4 linked regions of the Tribolium castaneum genome follow. The protein of the gene in region 1 purifies or fractionates together with the protein of each later gene. This does not show direct contact. Links are inferred from orthologs where the notes say so. Each region holds a gene or a part of one and is shown in the gene's direction. Other genes may lie near its edges.

Region 1 (4,527 bases):
CTGGATTTTTCCACCCTAGGGCTTTCCCAGTCCTGATCATACTCTCCCGCCCATATCTCATCCCGATACTGTTACACGGATCTTTCTGCCACGTCAAGGACGGTAGCATTTTCCAGTCTCCTTCAGTGTACTTTTCCACGAAAATTGCACCTTCTGCCGTTTCGTCCAAAGGCTTTGCGAATGTAAAATCAATGGAGATGGCACGATGGGTGCGATTGAAACGATCGATTCGGAAAAGTCTGATAGGGACTTCGAGTTTGTCGTTATCAGGGCATAAATAACCCGTTTCCAAGTCTGCTTTAAATTTACTCGTGAGCTGGAATAAAAAATTTAGGTGTTTTTGTAATTGGGTGATTGGGCTTACGAAATTGCCGTTTGTGGTTTTTGGGGTGAAAAAAATTAAGCAGAGGATGGGTCGCAAAAGTTGGAAGGACATTTCGTAGTTCGTGCCAGTTTTGACAAAAACACAATTAATTTATAGGTTTGCAATTATATGCTCATGCCAGAGGTTATTATTATACGCAACAAAACGGATGAGAGATTGGAGATAAAAATGAATTTTTGACAAACAACCAATGAAAGATTTTAAACACAACATATGATTTACTATAACAATGATTTTGTTGTATCATAAAAAAATAAAATTTATTTTTGCTAACAGTCATTCTTGACCATTTTACTGAAAATTTTTCCGAATGGATTTTTGAAACTGGCTGTATTTACAGTTGTTTGACTACTTTTTAAGTAATTTGTAAAATACAGGTAAGGGTTTTTTTGTGGATACTAGATGAGTTGCTTCTAATTGAATCTACAGTTATTATAAGAATTTATAGGACAATTAAAAATGGTGGATGCGCCGGGAAAATGTTACATATTGCAATTATGAATAGAACAATCATAATTTTGAGACAATTAAGTGTTAGAAATAATTTTTTTAAAAGTCTTGTCAATGATTGTTTAAGTCAAATTAAATAAAAAAAATTCAAAAAAAATATTTTTTTTTCAAAAAATTTTGTGGATTAATTGATATCTAACACTCTTTTAGGACAAAATATGCAAAAACAATCATTTTGTGACGTATATTTGACTCATGTAATGATTTTTTCGTCCAATTTCAGTCTACAAATAACACGCAATGTTTCTCGAAAACTTGTTACTACTTTCATTTATTGGAAACACCGTCAGCGTCAGTTTTGTAACACTTTTCCACCTATTTTTTTCTTCAAATTATAACATTTACATTTTAGTTAGTAAACAGATTCACTGCGGACCTTGAATCCGCTTACTTATGCCCTGATAATGATAAACTTGAAATCCCCATGAAACTTATCCGCATTGATCGGCTTAACCGCACCCATCGGGCCATTACCATGGAATTTTCCTTCGCCCATGCGGTGGATGACACCTCTGAAGGGACTTATTTTATCGAAAGATTTGTCGATGGCGGCTGGAAGTCGTTTCCAGGTGTTCCTTTCCAGAAAGATGTTTGTAAAACTTTGATGAAGTATAGCAAAGATTCAATGGTTAGGTTGGGCAAAGTTATGGGGATGGAACGGCCTGGTACATGTCCCATCCCTGCGGGGAATTACTCGGTAAAAAGATGGCCCTTTGAGCTGCATTTTGAGACGCCTTTCTGGCCGGGGAGGTACAGGTTTCAGACGGTTTGGAGGCGCATTGCCACCAAACAGAAGATTTTTTGCTCCATGAGTGTCATTAATTTTGTTGAGATTGTCGAATAAAAATAAAATTGTTGACTATTATTCACTCAATAAAAAAGTAATTGAAGGAATTACAAGTAAATAAGGAAAATGAGAACACATAATTATTTATTTTGAGCGTTTGAAATAAAACAAAATTATTTGTTATTTAAAAATTTATTCAAAACAATACAACTGTGTTAAAACGAAATAAATATAAAAACCGTTACACATACGCAGATCTGGCTTTTACAACTCTATTAAACGATTTATAATAAAAAACTCGGTACTTTTGACTTAAAAATGACAAGCTGGCAAACATAACAACTAAAAAAGTTGTTTCGGTGGGTGATTCAGTCACAAAAAACAATTCTTTTTTTTCCTATTTTCAAAGTAAAGTGGAGCACTATTGTAATATTATTATTTTACACAACAAATCGAAAAACTTCCACACTCTTCTGGCTTTTTTTTTGGTTACACAACAGTAACATTTGAGGCGGTTCTGTTGGTGCTCACATAGTGACGCTTGCCTTAACCTCATTATTGACTGTTACAATTCAAAATAACAAAATGACCAAAAAACGCAAGTTTTCGTCAAATTTGGGCTCAATTAAGGTGGAAGTGAAGGAGGAGAACGTCCTGGGCAATGACTACTTGATGGCCAAGGGCCGCCTCAAAGGCGTCCTCAAGCAACTAACTGAGAAAAGTGACTCCGACAGCGACTCGTCCGATGAACGGAGTTCCAAATAGTAATTTAAACTTTTTTTTGGCCAATTTTTCACTAATTTTTGTAGCGAAAATCGCAAACGTAAAGGCGACTCTGTCCTAACCCCCTACCGCCACACCTACGTTATGAAATTATTCGACAGAAGCGTAGATTTGGCCCGGTTTGAGGAGGACACTCCCTTGTACCCCATTTGCAGGGCTTGGATGCAGAACCAGCCCCGAAATCCGCAATCAATCGTTAAGTGAGTTTGCAATCATTGTTGCCAACTCAATTTTAAACCAAATTATTTAGGCGCCGATTATCGTCACCTGAACCTAATGAATTTAACTGGAATACGAGCATGATCACAGACTTGCACAGGTTGCCGCCCCCTATAGGTCCCGTGGTCAGTAGAATCCCATCACCTTTGCCTGAACAAACGGAACAAAACAAGGATAATATAAATTTGAATTATGTAAGATGGTACAATTTATTACTAAAAATTGATCGTTTCATCACAGGAGGAATGTCCACCTGTTCCCAAAGATATCTTGATCAGGAATCACCTGCAAAGGTGGGTCAAGGTCAAGAAGAAGTGGATTGACACTGCGGTTAAAAACGAGGAACGGTATCATTTGAGCACGCAAATGCTCCAAACTATTTACAATAAGTACGAAAACACGTACAATTTCGTCTAGTTTAATTTTCTGTTTTTCAGGGCACAAGAAGCAATGGAATAGTTTTTAACACTTGGAATTTTATTGTATTGTGTGTTGTAATGAAAGTAGTGATTTTGTCAACGCATTTAATAAACCATTTTACAACAAAATGCAGTTTTAATATACACCCCGAGAAATTCTCTTGCCAACCTGACCATTCAAACCCAAACGAGCGAAATGTTTATCCACATATTATGAATGTATTTATTAGCCTAGAGACTCTCAGGCCCCTTTTTTATCTTTAAAATATTTTGAATGTTTTTTTTTGACAATTTGAGCACTGACATTGTTGACAGCTGTCAGTCGTCCTAACCTAACTTCTACAATTTTTACCTGTTTTTAAGCCCAAACAATTTAGAAAAATTATGTGAAAGTGTAATTATCGTAAAAATGGCCACCTCGACCGAAATCGAGACCTACATTATTGACGACGACGACGAGCCCGAAGCCCCGGAGCTCGACGAGGAAGAGAACCGTTTTTACACCATAAACTCTACCCTAGACAAGCAAATCGCCCAGGACATGGAAGCCATCCGCAACTACATCTCGGAAGCCCCCCGGTTCGACCCCCTCAAGAAACGAATCGAGTTTTTCAACAGCATGGACACGTCATATATCGACCGTTGTGTGGACAAGACCGTGGACCCCATCCTGTGCCAACACACGGGTCTGGGGACCCTCAAGTGGCACACCTGCAACCAGTGCGACTTCAAGACCGAAACCAAGGAGCAGTTGCGCCAGCACGTCATCATCAAACACACCCAACTGGGCAAGTTAAACTGGTATGTGTGCCAGCACTGCGAGTTCGTGTGCCCCCAGGAGGCCGATATGGCGAAACACACGAAGGGAGCACACGAGAACAAGTGCACAGAGTGCGGGGAGGTGTTCATCACGGAGCCCCATCTGCTGAGGCACAGGGCACACAAACACGGCTTGAAGATATTTGATTGTAAAAAGTGCGAGTTTGTGACCAAAACATCCGAAGAATTTACGAGGCATACGTTAACACATGCCAAACTCAACTTCAGTTGGTACAAATGTGAAAGGTGCGAGTATCGAACGGTCAAAAAGTCCAATTTGGACAGACACATCAGCCACAAACATTCGTTTTTTTAGTTTAGGGATTTATAAATAACCGGATTTATTCGTATTTTTTACCTCAAATCAAATAAAACACTCAAGTCGCATGTGCTGTGTTTCATTTCACGCGCGTGATTGGCCGAAGCCGGTCACGTGGCGACGCCAACCAATCACAATCCGCTTGTCAGTTTTTTAACGTAACCTAAAAAAGTATAAAATCTAGTTGTTTCCTTTTGTGTTTCGATTAATTCTCGAGCCCTTGGTGATTATTTTACATTCGCGATCGTGCGCGGAGTGGTTTTCGGTGATCGTATTTATTATGAAG
Region 2 (3,945 bases), on another chromosome or scaffold:
TAAAGAAAAAACTATTACAACAGATGTAATACAAGAAAAAATTGCGTCAAGTGATATCACGAATGTTTTTCTTCGGATGTCGGTGTGTTAACAACCTGACGTAGTTCAGATAATGCACACTTTGTGACGTTATACGAGGCGATAAGTTAGTCTTTTAATCACTTAGTGGTGGTCGCCTATTAATAACAATTGTAAATATTTTTAATTAATGAATGACACAAGTGGAACACCGCCAGATTACTTAATTCGTAACATATGCTGACAACGTAACTTTAAAAATAACACACCCTTTGAATCAAATGGGACCATCCATCAACTGATGTAATTATTTACCTAAGTACCCAATTACTCACTTGATCTAAATATACACAATTCATAAAAGACTAACATAAATATTGACAGTGTTTAAACAAGATTAGCTCGCAATTTCCAGACTTACCTGTAACGATTTGTTCCTCCTGGGGTTTATCCTCGTTTCTTTTGAAAATAAAATCACCGAGGGCCCTGGAAAGGGCCAAGTTCCCGTTAACCCTGTTGTAATCAACAAACCCTCCCGCCGCTACGATCCTGTCGTACTCCTCCTTGTTGTTCGGCTTGTGGTCGTTCGAAAGCGGCTCCGCCTTGCCCCCAATGCTCGCCACAGCTCTAGAGTCCCCCACGTTGGCGCAGTACAACGTGCCATTTTTGATAATAATAGTGACGGCTGTGGAGCCCGACTGCTCGTTTCTCAACGACTCATCCTCCAGCATGACCCGGTCGATCTCCAAGAAGGCCTGCTTCAGCCCCTCCTCGATCTGGCCGTTCTTGTACTCCTCCCGGTTCGTGATAAACTTGTGCAGGTGCTTGCCCGCGTACTCCGAGATCTTGGAGCCCCCATGCCCGTCGTAGACCGCGAAAAACGCGGCCTCGGGGTCGTCCGGCAGGGACAAGATGTGCGTATGGGAGTCCTCCATGTTGATGCGCCAGCCCTGCATCGAACTTGAGCCCACTTGGAAATTGGCGTTTTGGCAGCATGCTGTGTTCTTGGCAGTCACCGGTTCGGACAAAGTTTGACCCATAGTACCCCTGAAAGGGCGATAAGTCCGCAAAAAGCGCAAAAACACGAGGCAAGCGGGAAAAAACCGTCGCTACTTACTCAAAATTGAACTCTGCTCTTTGGATGGGTTTTATTTAGCATACTTGTGCTAAATCGAATCGCATATTTTGCGTACGCTAATTAACACCGCTTTTTGCTGTTGTGTGTCACGAGATATGGAACGCAATATTTAGGTTAATCGGGAGAGAACTCTTCGAAAAAAGAGAAACTTGACGTTTGAATGTCGAGCTGGGACGCGGCCGGCTGAGTGCGTCATCGCCTGTGCACAAGGCCGAAAACTTTTTTATGTCCTAAACAATAAAAATGTGCGGCACGTTCTTCAAATAAAAACTATTGACAATAAATTCGTTGTTACTTATTACTAATTAAATTACGATTTGATTTTACAATCTTGGCGAGGGAAGCGCCAACATTGCGACACTTAATACACCAGCCAAATTTAAAAACCAAACTTTTACGAAATTGGGGGCAAGTGAATCGGGGTTGACACCCAATTAGGGTCATTTGCGACTTTTGCTCGTTCTGTATAGTGTTTCTTTGCCGCTTTCAAAGTCCCCCTAAAAGCGCAGCCTTTTGATTACGTTTGCTGCAGTTGGCACAATTGCAAGATGGCGTCCGAGAAACCCGGGAGCATTGAACAAGGTAAAGCATTTTTAATAAAAAATCACCCTGTAAATGTTACTTTTGGCTCAATTTAATTATTAAACGATTGTTGAGGCCTTGCATGGACAGTTTACGCGAAATTGTCGGCTAGCGTGCGTGGACAAGTTCGCATTTTAAACAGAGTGGCTTATGTCAATCTGTCAAAATATAATTGATTTGTTGCATTTCCTAGAGCAAGATCAATCTTTGAGCGATCTAGAGCAGACCTTAATGAGTATGGAAAATCTGGATAGAGCCTCTCCAGAAATTTGGCCAGAGAAGTGTAAGTAGCGTTGCACATGTTTGTGGGATTAGGGCAATAATAGGGTTTCAGATCCAGGAATGACAGATTTTGTAAACAGTTTCACGCCACCAAGTGCCGTAAAACTGCCTTACTCGAAGGAATTGAGTCAGGATGACCAGAATTATCTGCACCGTAAGTTTGGATTAGTTTTTGTGTGATTGTAGAGAAGAGTGTGGTTTTTGTAGAATTAGCAGCTCTTCCAACAGCTGGACTGATTTCTAAAGTCAAGGAGTTGCATGATATTGCATATCAGTTGGGTGTTGAGGAATCGAAAGAAGTCACAAGGGGGAAATACTTAAATGTTTTTAAGCCCAGGCAGAAGCAGAAATGATTTGCAATTTGTTACCTAAGTAGAGGTTCCAAATAACGTGGAAGTTATAAAAAGAGCAGGGGAAATATATTTGTACATAGGATTATAAGTTTAAGTTTAAAGAAGTGATTGTACGTTAATTTCCTGGAGAAAATCATTTTTGTAATGTATTATTAAGCAAGTGCTTCAAAAGGATTTATGTATTATATTGCACTGCTGAAGTTTCGTTTGTATAATAAAAATCGAAAATAAATTTGGTTTTGTAAAAGGTGTCTTCATTTTCTACAATTAAAATTTTGTTCCCCGTTAGCTCACCAAAACAATAATGAGGTGATGCATTATTATTATTATTATTATTATTATTATTACTGAACCCAGCAGCTTCCTAGATTAAAAATATCCGGTGGAATGTAAATTGATAATTATTTTTGCAGGAGATTAAGCTCTCTAATAGGGCCTTCAACTGTAAAAAATCATGTTCGGACAAACATTCCTTAGGACCTTAACATTTTTTTAATTTTTATAAAATTTCTCGATTTTGCAAATTGCGTTAAAAAACTCGTATTTAAGGATTGCTCTAATTAGTCAAATTAATAACTCATTTGTCCAGCAAGAACCAGAAGAAGGTTTAGAACATTCTTGCCAGGAAAAAAGGAATTAAGGATGAGGTAAACAATGATTATTAGAAAATAAAGGAATTATTTATGAAAAAAAAACAACACATAAATCAAATATTTTTTACTTGGCGTTAAATAAGATGCACCTACCTTCATATGGTTTCTGCGTTGGCTACTGTTTGTAGTTTGAAAATGTAAAAATTTTTACTTTTATGAATTTTGTGTCCGTTTCTGCTCTTTTAGAGCGTTATTAATTATTATTGAGTAGGTTTAAGGGTAGACAAATCTTCCTTGAGTCAACGACATAAACTTTAGTGTGATTTATTGAAATGTCTATTGGGCAAAAATAAACTTTTCGTGTCAAACATTTACATTAAAAAGGGTGTTTGATCGTTTATAAAGGGCGTGTACAAGCACAAGTACAACAACTTTTCTGTAAAAGCATTTTGCAAAATTTTTATTCATTATTTTCACTATTTTCCTTCTTTCCGGTAATAACTGATTCACTCTTCGGGGACTATTTTGAATATTGTAATAAATTTTCAAAGTTTGCGAAGAAAATGTTTTTTCGCGTAGAATGGCTGCAACCAACAATCCACTCTTGAAGAAAAACGCTTTAATTTTAATTAAAAACCAAAAGTCACTACTTATTTTCATTGAATTACATTGAACACTTATAAAAATTGTTAGTTCCCTTCATGTTGTTGAAAAAAAATATTTTGACTGCTGTTTGATGTGAATTATGTCCTCGCTTCGTTTTAAAAACGGCCTGAACTTTTGTAACTTTACTCTGGCTTGAATCAATGCTTTAGCTTCAATAATGCCGTTTCCATATTTTATATCCTGACCTTGTAATGGGCCTACAAAATCTCAATCAGATTCAATAGCTTCGTCCTTTTACAAACTCTCATTTCCTGCATTATATCCAAAAAAAAAACTGTCCAATACGCTTAAAAATTTCACAAAGAAAGTCGAA
Region 3 (5,069 bases), about 2.5 Mb from region 1:
TTGAATTGGGCACATGTCCAAAACTCCAATGGTACCTTATTAGAGTCCGTATTTACTTACTTAGTGCTTTAATTTTTTTCTAAGTTTCAAAATAATGTTAAATAACCGGTTTTGAGGGTGAGAAAGTTGCCAAATTAAATGTGGAAGCCAAACACGACATTTATTTCTTATAAACGTTAATTCATTAATAAATTATTTTCATTCATTGTATTTATTTTTTCTTTATATTTATAATACTAACAAAATTTTGCAATTAAACACATTTAACCGATTTTCAATAAAATCGGTTATGTGTGTTTAAATTGTAAAAAAATTATAATATTAAATTAATTGTATAAATAATAAAATATTTAAATTTGCCGCCAATTTTAGTTCCTCATACTACCAAGATATGGCGCTATTATCGAAATTTTGACGACCAGTGAATTACGTGTTACTTGATTTTCTATAACTACTATATTCTATGGCTTGCGCGCAGATCGCTAAAAAGATCGCTTCGAAAATATCGCGCCAAAAGTGTTGTTTTGTCACTCATCGTTCAACGTGTTACCGGAAGTATGTAGTAATTATTTGTTTAATCGTTTAATCAAAGCAAAAATTCTGATTACAGTTCGTTAGTGAGTCAATTCCTGGTGTTGAGCGCCGACGAAAAAGATAAGTATCTCTTCTTTTGTTAATATAACCTCATCTTTTTGATTGGTGTTTCTTTCTATTTTAAAGGCATTGGTCTCTGGGCTGGAGTGACGGATTTTTGATTTCTACTACTCAAGCGAACTTTAGTCATGGCTGGTTATCGCAAATATTCCTGCAAATACCCCGGATGCACCAGTGGTTATGTTCCCAACAAAGGACAGTCCAATAAGCATTTCTTCACCTTCCCTAAGAATCCAAAGCTTCAAGAATTGTGGAAGAATGCCTGCAAAATTGAGGATCCTGTAAGTTCAAAATTGTACCTCCTCGTGGTCGTAGCGTGGGCAACTGTTTGCTGACAGACAAGGTAAAAGTCATTGCAAAGCAGACCTTATTTTGTTTTAAGTCTCGAGCAGACAGGCAAAACATGCCAACACTGACTGATTTAATTTTTTGATAATTTTTGTATAATTAAGAAATAATACAATACTTTAATTTTTTGAAAAATTTAATTTGTTATGTTACTCAAGTGTACAATAAAAATGTTAACAAAATCTGTGTTTTATTACCCCAAAACAACTTTTTTTGTAAGTTTCATTGCAAATTTTGTTTAAAATAAATATAAAACGTTTTCACTTTGTTTAAAATGAAAATATATTTTTTTATTTTAAACAATTTGCAATGAAACTTGTAAGATAAAAATAATAAAAAACAATATAAAAGGAATTTATTCAAACGTGGCGCTTTACCGTGGTAGTAACGCACTTCAGGACCAGAGGCGCTGGATTCTCGTGTTGCCAGTGATTTACTAGGGAATTATCACTTCTTAACCCTTACTGTTCTGTGGTTTGAACGCTTCCCTGGTCACGTGACATGTCAAATTTGACTATGGTGTTTTGAATAGTTTTAATTTTTGTGAAAATTCGGTAAAATCGGGCGCAATTATGCCCTTCAGTGACAAAGGTAGTGTATTTGCGTTGGACACTGGCTTCCTTCTTAATTGTGGGTCGTTTCGTGGCCAAATTTTCCACGCCAGGAGCGCGATTTTAAAAAGCGTCCTTTTCACTTGAGGCTCCAAATTTGAATCAAACCTAGGGCCTTAGCGCGAATTTGCGAGCACCATGGACGCGTCCAGTCACACTTTAACTGGTATTGCGGTTTACACACGAGTCAATAATTTTTCAATTTGAACCAAAAGTGTGAAATTCCCGGGGTCAGAATTCAAAAATGCCTCGCTTGCAGGTAACAACGAAGACGTGGAGGCCCTCGTGGACACTCTCACCATCGATGGGGCCACTCTGACCGAGACAAACCTCACGAGTTTGTCTTCCACAGACATCCAGCAACTGGCGGAACTGTCCCAAGAGCTGCACCTTTCAAACGACATGGAGACCGACGGTAAGCCCGGCCTCTGCCCAAAATCGCCCTCAACTACAGGTTTCAGAACCAGAGGTGATAATCGAGACAGTTGAGGAGACCGGTCAAGTGGACGCTGACGTCATGCAGTCCGAAATAGGGGCCCAAGAGATTGAGATTGAAACCGAACGCGCCCCCTCCCCCGAGGAGATCCTCCCGGACGTCAAAATCAAAACCTCCACAATCCCCCCATTGCGCCCCCTGACCATAGCCCCCAAACCCGCCAAGGCGGTCCCCATCGCCATGAAGCCGGCCCCCGGCCAACAACTCCTCCTCCTCCAGGGGACTGGCGGCAACCAAGCCATCAAACTGGTCTCATCCGGGGGCCAAGAGCTGAACCTCGCCAACGTGTCTTTGGGGCGCCCCGTGGCCATCAAGCCCGCCGTCAAAACAGTCACCACCACCTTAGTCCAGCCCAAGCAAGTCGTCATGAAGAAAATCGTCACCTCCACGCAGAAAACGCCCCCGAAGACCACCCCCACGTTCACCAACAAGCAGGGGCATATTATGGTGGTGCAGAAAGCCGACCAAGTCAAGCTAATGCCGGGGCAAACCACGCTTCCGAGCCCCGCCAAGACTATAACCCTTCAGCAAGCGCAGGAGATGGGGCTCATTACCACCACCAAGGTGCTCCCGCAGGCCACTTCCACACCGAAGCGTACTATGGTTTTGAATAATCCTGGCACCAAGGCGATTAAAATTGTGCCCCAAGTGGCGCCAGGACAGTTGTTGGGGCAGAAAACGGTCGTGAGTCAGATTAAGTCGCCCACGAAGATACTTCCAGCTACGCAGGCGACTGGAGGGAAGGTGCCCCAAAGGATTATTTTCAAGAGTTCGGGGACGGGGCACACGATTTTGTCTTCGCCGCAAATTATACAAGTGGCAGGGACGCAGGCGCTGAGCACGGGACAGTTGCATCAGATTAATATTCCAGGGAAAGGGGTGAGTTTTTCAAGGTGGATCAGTTGATTATTTCGACCAGTTGGGGCCCAACTTAGTCGATAAATCATCAAATTGGTTCGAAAATCGCATTTTTGTATTTCTAAAGCGTTTAAGTAGGTTTTTTTGAGGAGTTTCGTAGTAAAGAAAAATCACTGAATCATGTGAAAAATTTTATTTTTGAATTTTTTACAACCAGGATACGAATAATTTCGGGGAATATCATCAGAAGTAAGCAAAAAAGCTCCGAATTATATGAACAATGATATTGTTTTTCTCCCTTTTCGAACGTCTAAAGACTTCTTGAGCTATCAAATGAGTAAATTAGATCAGAATTTACTTTTCTTTGCCATTTTGGGAGCATTTTAATCGGTTTTACTGACAGAACCGCAATTCTTTCTAGGACTTTCGTTACAAATAACCCAAAAAGCCACTATAAGGTGGGTAAAAAATTCCATCGTTTTTTTTTTGAGGACTTTAGAAAGACCGTATCGCGAGATTTTGGTTAAACTGGAACAAAAAATTCCTAAAGTCAAAACGCGAACGCGTTTTTGTGCTTTTTGTGAGCGTTTTATACTCTTTCCAGCCAGGAACCTAATTGTAACTTTTTAGAGGAGTTTTATCAGAAATAAACTAAAAAAAAACGATAATATTGTTGCCCCTTTTAAGCGTTAAACACAAAATTTTTAACTAAATTTTGTTAGATTGGACCAAAAAATCGCCAAGTTAGTTCTCTGATGGCATTAACTTGACTTTACGAGCATTTTATTGCGATTTATTAGCAAAAAATATAATTATTTTAAGGAAGTGATTAAAAAAAGTGCACCAAAATTCACCAAATTGACCAAACTAGTTCGGAAAAGATGCAATCTTTACCTTTTGGGAACGTTTCTCATGTTTTTTTTAATGAAAAGAATTTTTTCGCGCGATTTTTCGATCAAAAAAGCAAATTAAGAAAGCCAGACTGCTATTTAGAATTTTTTTTTAATAAGAGCGATGTCATTAACTCATTAAGGAGGAGAATACCACGCTATAAAGCACCGAATTTCAGCCATTTTTCTCAGTGTTTTTTTAAATAGAAGGTCTTTAAAAAAAATTACTGTGCATCAATAATAAGTGTTAAAGAAAAATTAAAATACTGTAGTGGACTCTTAAGAATACAATTGCTTTTGTTTTAACTTTTACTTTGAAGACTGCAAACTAAGCTGTAAAATTACTAATTATACCAAAAATAATGTTATTTTTGGTCATTTTCAAATGTTTAAGCAGTTTTTAAATTAAAAATTCTATATTTTTTTCGAAAGAGATTTCGGTAAACTGGTAAATTATGTAAAAGATTACGGAACCTAGATAAAAGTAAACCGAGAAATTGCTAAATTCTATGAAAAATGATTATATTTGGACCATTTTTGGTTCTTTTTGAGCTGAAAACTCAAGTTATTCGCGAGGTTTTGTTAAAATGGATCAAAAAATATCACTAATTATGTGAAAAAGTATAAAATTTTTATCTTTTCAAGAAATATTAGTGACTTTTACGGCCAAAAACGTAAATTTTTCGTAAAATATTAACCTAAAAACAATAAATAATGTCAAAAACGGTGTAATTATCATTTATTTAAAATTGAAAAATGTTTTAAAGTATGTTAAAAATTGTGCCATTTTTGCATTTTTTGAGCGTTCAAGCACCTTTTACCAATATTTTTTTTTGGGTGTTTGTACCCGTAATAGGTACATCTTAATCTCAAATAATGACTTTATTTCTGCCTTTTTTTTGGTGCTTGCAGTACATTTTGCAGCTAGTAATATACTTATTTCAAAAATTTTCGTCGAAAGAACCGTCCAAAAATAATTTAGTTGGAAAATGGTATCACCTGTTAAAAACTCAGTTTTCGAATTATTTCATTTAAACGACCCAAAAAAATAAATTTTGAATAAAATGATATATTTGTTTTTTTCGTGTATTTTCCAAAATAAGCCCGGAACTTGGTCGAAAAACGCCGTTGTGTTTCAATTTACTGAATTAATTTTCTCCTTTTCAGATGCAATACATTAAGTTTGTGACGGCCACCAATGCCGAGACCACG
Region 4 (5,225 bases), on another chromosome or scaffold:
CAAAGGCACGGTTTTTTCTTTTACATTTTTGCAGCCCAAAGCAGCACTTTTGAGGAAAAAACACAACGACAGAATTAATTTATTCTACTGGGATGTACGTCCGATTTTTTGTCACTGTACAAACAGATTAGATAATTTTGCAGGAGTTACCAGATGAAAGTGATTACGTTGTTGTTAAACGTAACGGGCGTCTACATCAAGAGAGTGTCAAATGGCTTGTATATTTTAATGATAATGAAACTCTTATTTCTTGCAGCAAAGACTCAAATGTGTCAATATTAATACATTATATCGGAAATAAAAACAAGCCGTACATTTTCAAGATACAAAAAGTAAGTAACACAGTCACTGTTACGAAAGTTGTCATATTTATTTATTAAACCGCTAGGGTTGTAACTGTTTTGCATTAAGCAGAATACGTAAGATACTAGCCACAGGAAGCGAAAATTCTGTTCTGAGATTGTGGAACCCTATTATTACCTCAAAACCAATCGCAATTTTGAAAGGACATCAAGCACCGATTATGGACGTTAAAATATTGGATAAACTAAATTTACTTATTAGTTGTTCAGCTGATGCAGTATATTTTTCTATTTTGCATTTAATTCTATTTACTAATTTTTGTATAATTGTTGTAGATGTTTAAATTATGGGATTTGGAAAAACAAAAGTGCATTCAAAGTTTTTCTATCAGTTTCCCGTCTTTTAAAGTGTTTGGAAAATTAATTGAATGGGGAATTGAATGCATTTATCCCGGCCCTAAACGCACTTCCTTTAATGAGATTGAGATCGAACTTTTTGAAAGATCACCACTGTTAATCACTTGTTGCAATCACATCGCTGTTATTAAAATAGTAAATCAGAGCAACGAAATACAGAAAATTGTTGAATCGCAAGTTTTGCCTCCACCTCCTCTACAAAATAGTGTTTTGATTCCAAAAATGTGGAGAACGTCTGATAGTCCCGAAACAATAAATAAGTATGATTTTTTTTCTAAACCTCGTTTTTTATTAAATTGTTAACGCTATTACAGAGAAGAACAGTTTGAAGAAGCAATTGATGACAAATTTCTCAAAGAAAAAATAAAAGAGTTGGAATTTATTCTAAAAAAAGACCTGTTTGCAAATGATGGCTCAAGTAAGAGCGATATCAATTTCAAAATTGCGACATTAGAGCGAAAAAAAGTGCAGGCATGTATAGCAATGAATTGATTTTATTTATGTCAACAAATAATATTTAGATGCGAGAAAACGTTGCACGCGGTGCTCCCTATTTAGCCCTGGAGCTACCCGAAGTGAGCGACCTATACCTAACACCAAACTTGCCCGTCCCTGACAAAAAGAAAACGAAAAATATTGTGGAAAAAATCGAGAAAGTTTTACAAGACGCCAGTTACAAGGACTTGGTATTTTCGGAACCCTCCTCCAGCCGCTCGCCACGGTCCTCACGAAGCAGTGTTATTGAATTTGACTAGTATCACTGTAATAAAAATTTTTGTAATAAAAATTAAAATTCATCTTGCGCGCGTCCCCAAGCCAGCAGGTGAAGCTTCCACTAATGCGAAACTTCCCTAAACGGTGTTTGTGTTTGGCGCTAAGAATTGGCGGGAAAGCCCATTTCTCTCCCCTTTTCGTGCCCACAGCAGCTGTATTGGCACATAGTGTCCTAATTAATTAAAGTGTGGCTAAAAACTTGCAAAGTGCTTCGATTATAAAGTTACTGGTAACTTTCCAAATTTGGGTTTGAGGTTACCCTCCATGCGCAGTCAAAAGTAGTTCTGGCTGATCGACAAAAAACTGTGTACGTATTCGCGCGTAAACGCCGAAATATTTTGGATTTTAGCGGCATTTCCTCGTCGAAAATAATGTGCAAAGCGGGAAAGTCGGGGTTTGAGCGTGATTGTGTTGTTTTTTAGTCGTCTCTTGTGTGGATTCCCGCCTTTTGTAGGCGTTGTCAAGAGCTCAATGGTGGCTAGTGGTGCGAAATTGTTTAGCAGCGGTTTGTAATTGTTGGAAATCATGGTGTTATCAAGCGAAACCGAAGAATTGGAGGAGAAACACTCAGAACTGTGCAACAAACTGCACCTGAGCCAACAGATTTCCAGAGACGCTTGGGAGCGATTTGAGACAATTAACAAGAATTTCACTCTGGAGGTGAGTCTCAACCCCTTAAATCACTGCAAACTATCGGGATTTTCAGGGGGAGCCCCTCCACTGGATAGGGTGTGCAATATACGTGTCGTGTTGGAAGTCCATCGCTGCAACGGCTGCACAAAATAGTGTTCACACGAATTGTGTTAACTTGACCAATCTTCTGCGTCATTGTAACTTAAGGTCAGCCAACAACAAACAGTCTTTGGGTTATTTTTAACGCATGGTTACAGCATAGCACAGTTCTTTTACAAAATCAAACAATGGTCGGACATGGCCAGCATGCCTGAGGAGTTCAAAAAGCGGATTGAGTATCTGGAAGGGAGCTTCTCTGTGGCTTACAACGTTTTTAAAGAATACCAGCCTCTCTTTATGCAAATATTTAAGGCACCTAAAGCTCCAGAAGCGCACGAACTGGACACAAGTAAACACAGAAACCGGAAAAATAAGTAAGAAGTCTCTCTAAACCAATTTATTTCAACTACGAAATTGTATATTTTAGACCTGTGCCTTCGTCCCCACTCAAAGTCTTCGAGTTTTGTTGGACCTTGTTTATCACAATAAAAAGTGAAGACACGAATTATAACAACGACTTGGTCACGTCGTGTCATTTACTTATTGCCATTTGCGACTGGGCGTTCAAACATGCGCTCCAAGCCGACCGCAAGGATCTCCTAAACCCCGACTTTGCGGGCCTGCCTGAAGACTTCGCCCAGCCCAGCTATGTGCCCCCTTCGGAGGCCCCTTGCATCGTCAGCTTACTGTGCCCCAGTCCGAACATAATCACCGACCTGAAGTACGTAAAAGAGTACCAGTTCAAAAAATCGATTCGGAATTATCTCGACCAAGGCGTCTTGATTGAGAACGACCAAGGCGATGTCTTGGACACCTCGGTGTTTGACCATAATTACAAAAGCATTGGGAACGTGTACGAGAAAAATATCCTGAATAAGAGCGATTTTGACGAGCGCATTTTCCTGGGTGAGTGATTTTACAGCTAGTCCAATCATATGGCGAGCCAGCTGCGCAAACAGCTGACTGTCTTACCTGAACAGATGCTCCTGACCTTGCCCTAACACCTGTTTCATTCCAGCTGAGTACAAAAGAAAACTTCTAGTGAGAGACCAGAGTGTGGCGCAAAATGCAGGTAATTTGAATCGAGAAATCTATGATCAAACAATTGAATTTTGCAATTTCAGCTGACAACGCAAGTCCGGAGTTATCGACCAAAGAAATGGTATTTTATTTTTGTGTGTGGTATTTTTTTTACGTTTGTTAATAGGTTGTTAGTAAAGAGTGTTTGACGCCGCTCACTGGCCGCAAATATTTGGGCCCGAAGGAGTCGCAAGAGTCGACTCCGCTTGTGACAGCTACTGAAAGCATTTCAAGGCTTAATAACTTGCTTCATGGGCGCCAGCCGGCCCCCAGTGAGGCTTTAGTGCAATTGTTTGAGTAATTATGACGCCCAGAGTGGTTGAACGTGTCTATGATGATGTTTTAAGGTCTTGTGCTCGCAATCCAACTGAGAGAATCAATCAAATTGTTACAAATTTGGGGGAGAGGTTTCTGGAAGGCCACCCAGTTGACCAAAGAGAAGTAGCACAAAGGCGACTGCAGCTCGCGACAACTTTGTTTTATAAATTTATTGAAAGTATTCTGCAGAATGAGCGCTCAATACATGCTGATTTATCGGTATGTTTTTTAATTATTATTTGTTCTGTAGTATTTTTATTGTTTTTTTAGGCCATTGTGGAAAAAGACGTATTTTACGAATGTATGTTTGCTTGTTGTTTAGAAATTGTTATTTATTCATACAATAGTCGGCAAAGGTTCCCCTGGATATTGAAAGCACTGCAAATACAACCATATAATTTTGTTAAAGTGATTGAACTTATCATTCGCTCAAGAGATAAGCTTTCAAGGGACACTATCAAACACCTTAATATGGTAAGAACATTACAGTCGGGATGTTTTTTTGATTTGAGATTTCGTGAAACTGTGCAAAAAATCATAAAATTTTCTCAAAAATAGACCAAAATATGTTTCAATATACTCTCCACCTCTAAATAAAATTAGTTCGTCAAATTAAAAAAAAGCGGAAATTATGAAATTAGTTCAAAAATAGTGTAATTTTTCGCCATTTAAACACGTGTTTGCGCTAGAAACTAAATTTGTTCGTGAAATTACGCTGAACTGGGGCAGAAAAAAAACTAGCAGTGACATTTATTTCCTATTTAAGAGGGTTTTAACACGGTTTGCATATGTAAGGACACAATTATTTTAAAGAATTTTGGCGCAAGTTTAAAGAAATTAAATTATTGTGCTCGAAAACGGTGTTATTGTCTGGTTTTTTTTGAACTAAAAAATTAAATTACGTTAAATGGTTTAAGTATATTTTCTAGTTAGCAAATTTTTAATTTAAGACGAAATCTTTAAATTGAAGCGGTAAGTACGTGTTTGAGCTAAAAACTCATTTTCTTCGCTAAATTTCGCTAATCTCTGCCAGAAAAATCGTCAAAGTCGGTTGAGAATGTCATTTATTTTGCTTTTTTTAAGGGTTTAAACGTGTTTTTCATCAAGAAACGCAATTATTTTAATCTTTTTCGAGAAATAAAACACATTTTTGAGCTCAATAGTCAGGTTTTTCGCGACGTTTTGATAAACTGGACTGAAAAATCATTAAGAAATTAGGTCAAATTGATTTTTCTACACTATCTTGTAGACAGGTTTTATAAAAATCCTCTTCTTTTAATCAATTTTTGAAAGTTTTCAAGGGCCATATAATAAGAAATGCATAACTGTATTTTATTTGAATATTTAATTGTCGAATTTACGAGTAAATATTTTGTTTTAAAGCTTCAGATATCTTCTACATATAAAGCAAACAGTGAAGAAGGATTATGATTTATTTCAATCACTGATAATTTATTATAATTAGTCAGCAGTTTCTGTTTCTCATTCTGTTCTCCACCTTTACTCTGTTTTGTATGAAACTGTCGTTTTTAGATCGAGGAAACTATACTTTCCTCGCTGGTCTGGAAATCAGACAGTTTAATTTGGGAAGCAATAACATCT

Evidence for each region. Proteins that work in one complex are often made in the same cells at the same time.
Region 2: the proteins of mip40 (region 1) and lin-52 purify together in Homo sapiens (affinity purification with mass spectrometry; 6 studies listed by BioGRID and IntAct, counting the BioPlex papers as one, with this or other methods). This does not show direct contact. The link is inferred for Tribolium castaneum from reciprocal best matches to the Homo sapiens genes LIN37 and LIN52.
Region 3: the proteins of mip40 (region 1) and protein lin-54 homolog purify together in Homo sapiens (affinity purification with mass spectrometry; 4 studies listed by BioGRID and IntAct, counting the BioPlex papers as one, with this or other methods). This does not show direct contact. The link is inferred for Tribolium castaneum from reciprocal best matches to the Homo sapiens genes LIN37 and LIN54.
Region 4: the proteins of mip40 (region 1) and retinoblastoma-like protein 1 purify together in Homo sapiens (affinity purification with mass spectrometry; 3 studies listed by BioGRID and IntAct, with this or other methods). This does not show direct contact. The link is inferred for Tribolium castaneum from reciprocal best matches to the Homo sapiens genes LIN37 and RBL1.

Annotation. Positions count from the first base shown.
Region 1 is NC_087399.1:3,374,678-3,379,204, reverse strand, and holds mip40 (protein lin-37 homolog), read left to right. Parts: upstream 1-2,194; 5' UTR 2,195-2,267; coding exon 2,268-2,446; intron 2,447-2,491; coding exon 2,492-2,665; intron 2,666-2,715; coding exon 2,716-2,878; intron 2,879-2,924; coding exon 2,925-3,073; intron 3,074-3,121; coding exon 3,122-3,143; 3' UTR 3,144-3,232; downstream 3,233-4,527. Other genes in the region: uncharacterized protein LOC107398505, read right to left, coding at 1-316, 365-436; RE1-silencing transcription factor B, read left to right, coding at 3,513-4,238.
Region 2 is NC_087402.1:6,135,029-6,138,973, reverse strand, and holds lin-52 (protein lin-52 homolog), read left to right. Parts: upstream 1-1,590; 5' UTR 1,591-1,704; coding exon 1,705-1,738; intron 1,739-1,931; coding exon 1,932-2,021; intron 2,022-2,072; coding exon 2,073-2,174; intron 2,175-2,227; coding exon 2,228-2,373; 3' UTR 2,374-2,620; downstream 2,621-3,945. Other genes in the region: probable protein phosphatase 2C T23F11.1, read right to left, coding at 440-1,058.
Region 3 is NC_087399.1:5,898,635-5,903,703, forward strand, and holds the start of protein lin-54 homolog, read left to right. Parts: upstream 1-1,444; 5' UTR 1,445-1,574; coding exon 1,575-1,593; intron 1,594-1,872; coding exon 1,873-2,028; intron 2,029-2,074; coding exon 2,075-2,988; intron 2,989-5,024; coding exon 5,025-5,069. UniProt on the Homo sapiens protein: Component of the DREAM complex, a multiprotein complex that can both act as a transcription activator or repressor depending on the context. In G0 phase, the complex binds to more than 800 promoters and is required for repression of E2F target genes.
Region 4 is NC_087396.1:19,756,199-19,761,423, forward strand, and holds the start of retinoblastoma-like protein 1, read left to right. Parts: upstream 1-1,600; 5' UTR 1,601-2,018; coding exon 2,019-2,153; intron 2,154-2,199; coding exon 2,200-2,333; intron 2,334-2,383; coding exon 2,384-2,599; intron 2,600-2,652; coding exon 2,653-3,131; intron 3,132-3,243; coding exon 3,244-3,297; intron 3,298-3,349; coding exon 3,350-3,387; intron 3,388-3,432; coding exon 3,433-3,602; intron 3,603-3,652; coding exon 3,653-3,842; intron 3,843-3,893; coding exon 3,894-4,097; intron 4,098-5,156; coding exon 5,157-5,225. Other genes in the region: WD repeat-containing protein 64, read left to right, coding at 1-94, 144-332, 389-580, 639-979, 1,034-1,190, 1,241-1,474. UniProt on the Homo sapiens protein: Key regulator of entry into cell division. Directly involved in heterochromatin formation by maintaining overall chromatin structure and, in particular, that of constitutive heterochromatin by stabilizing histone methylation.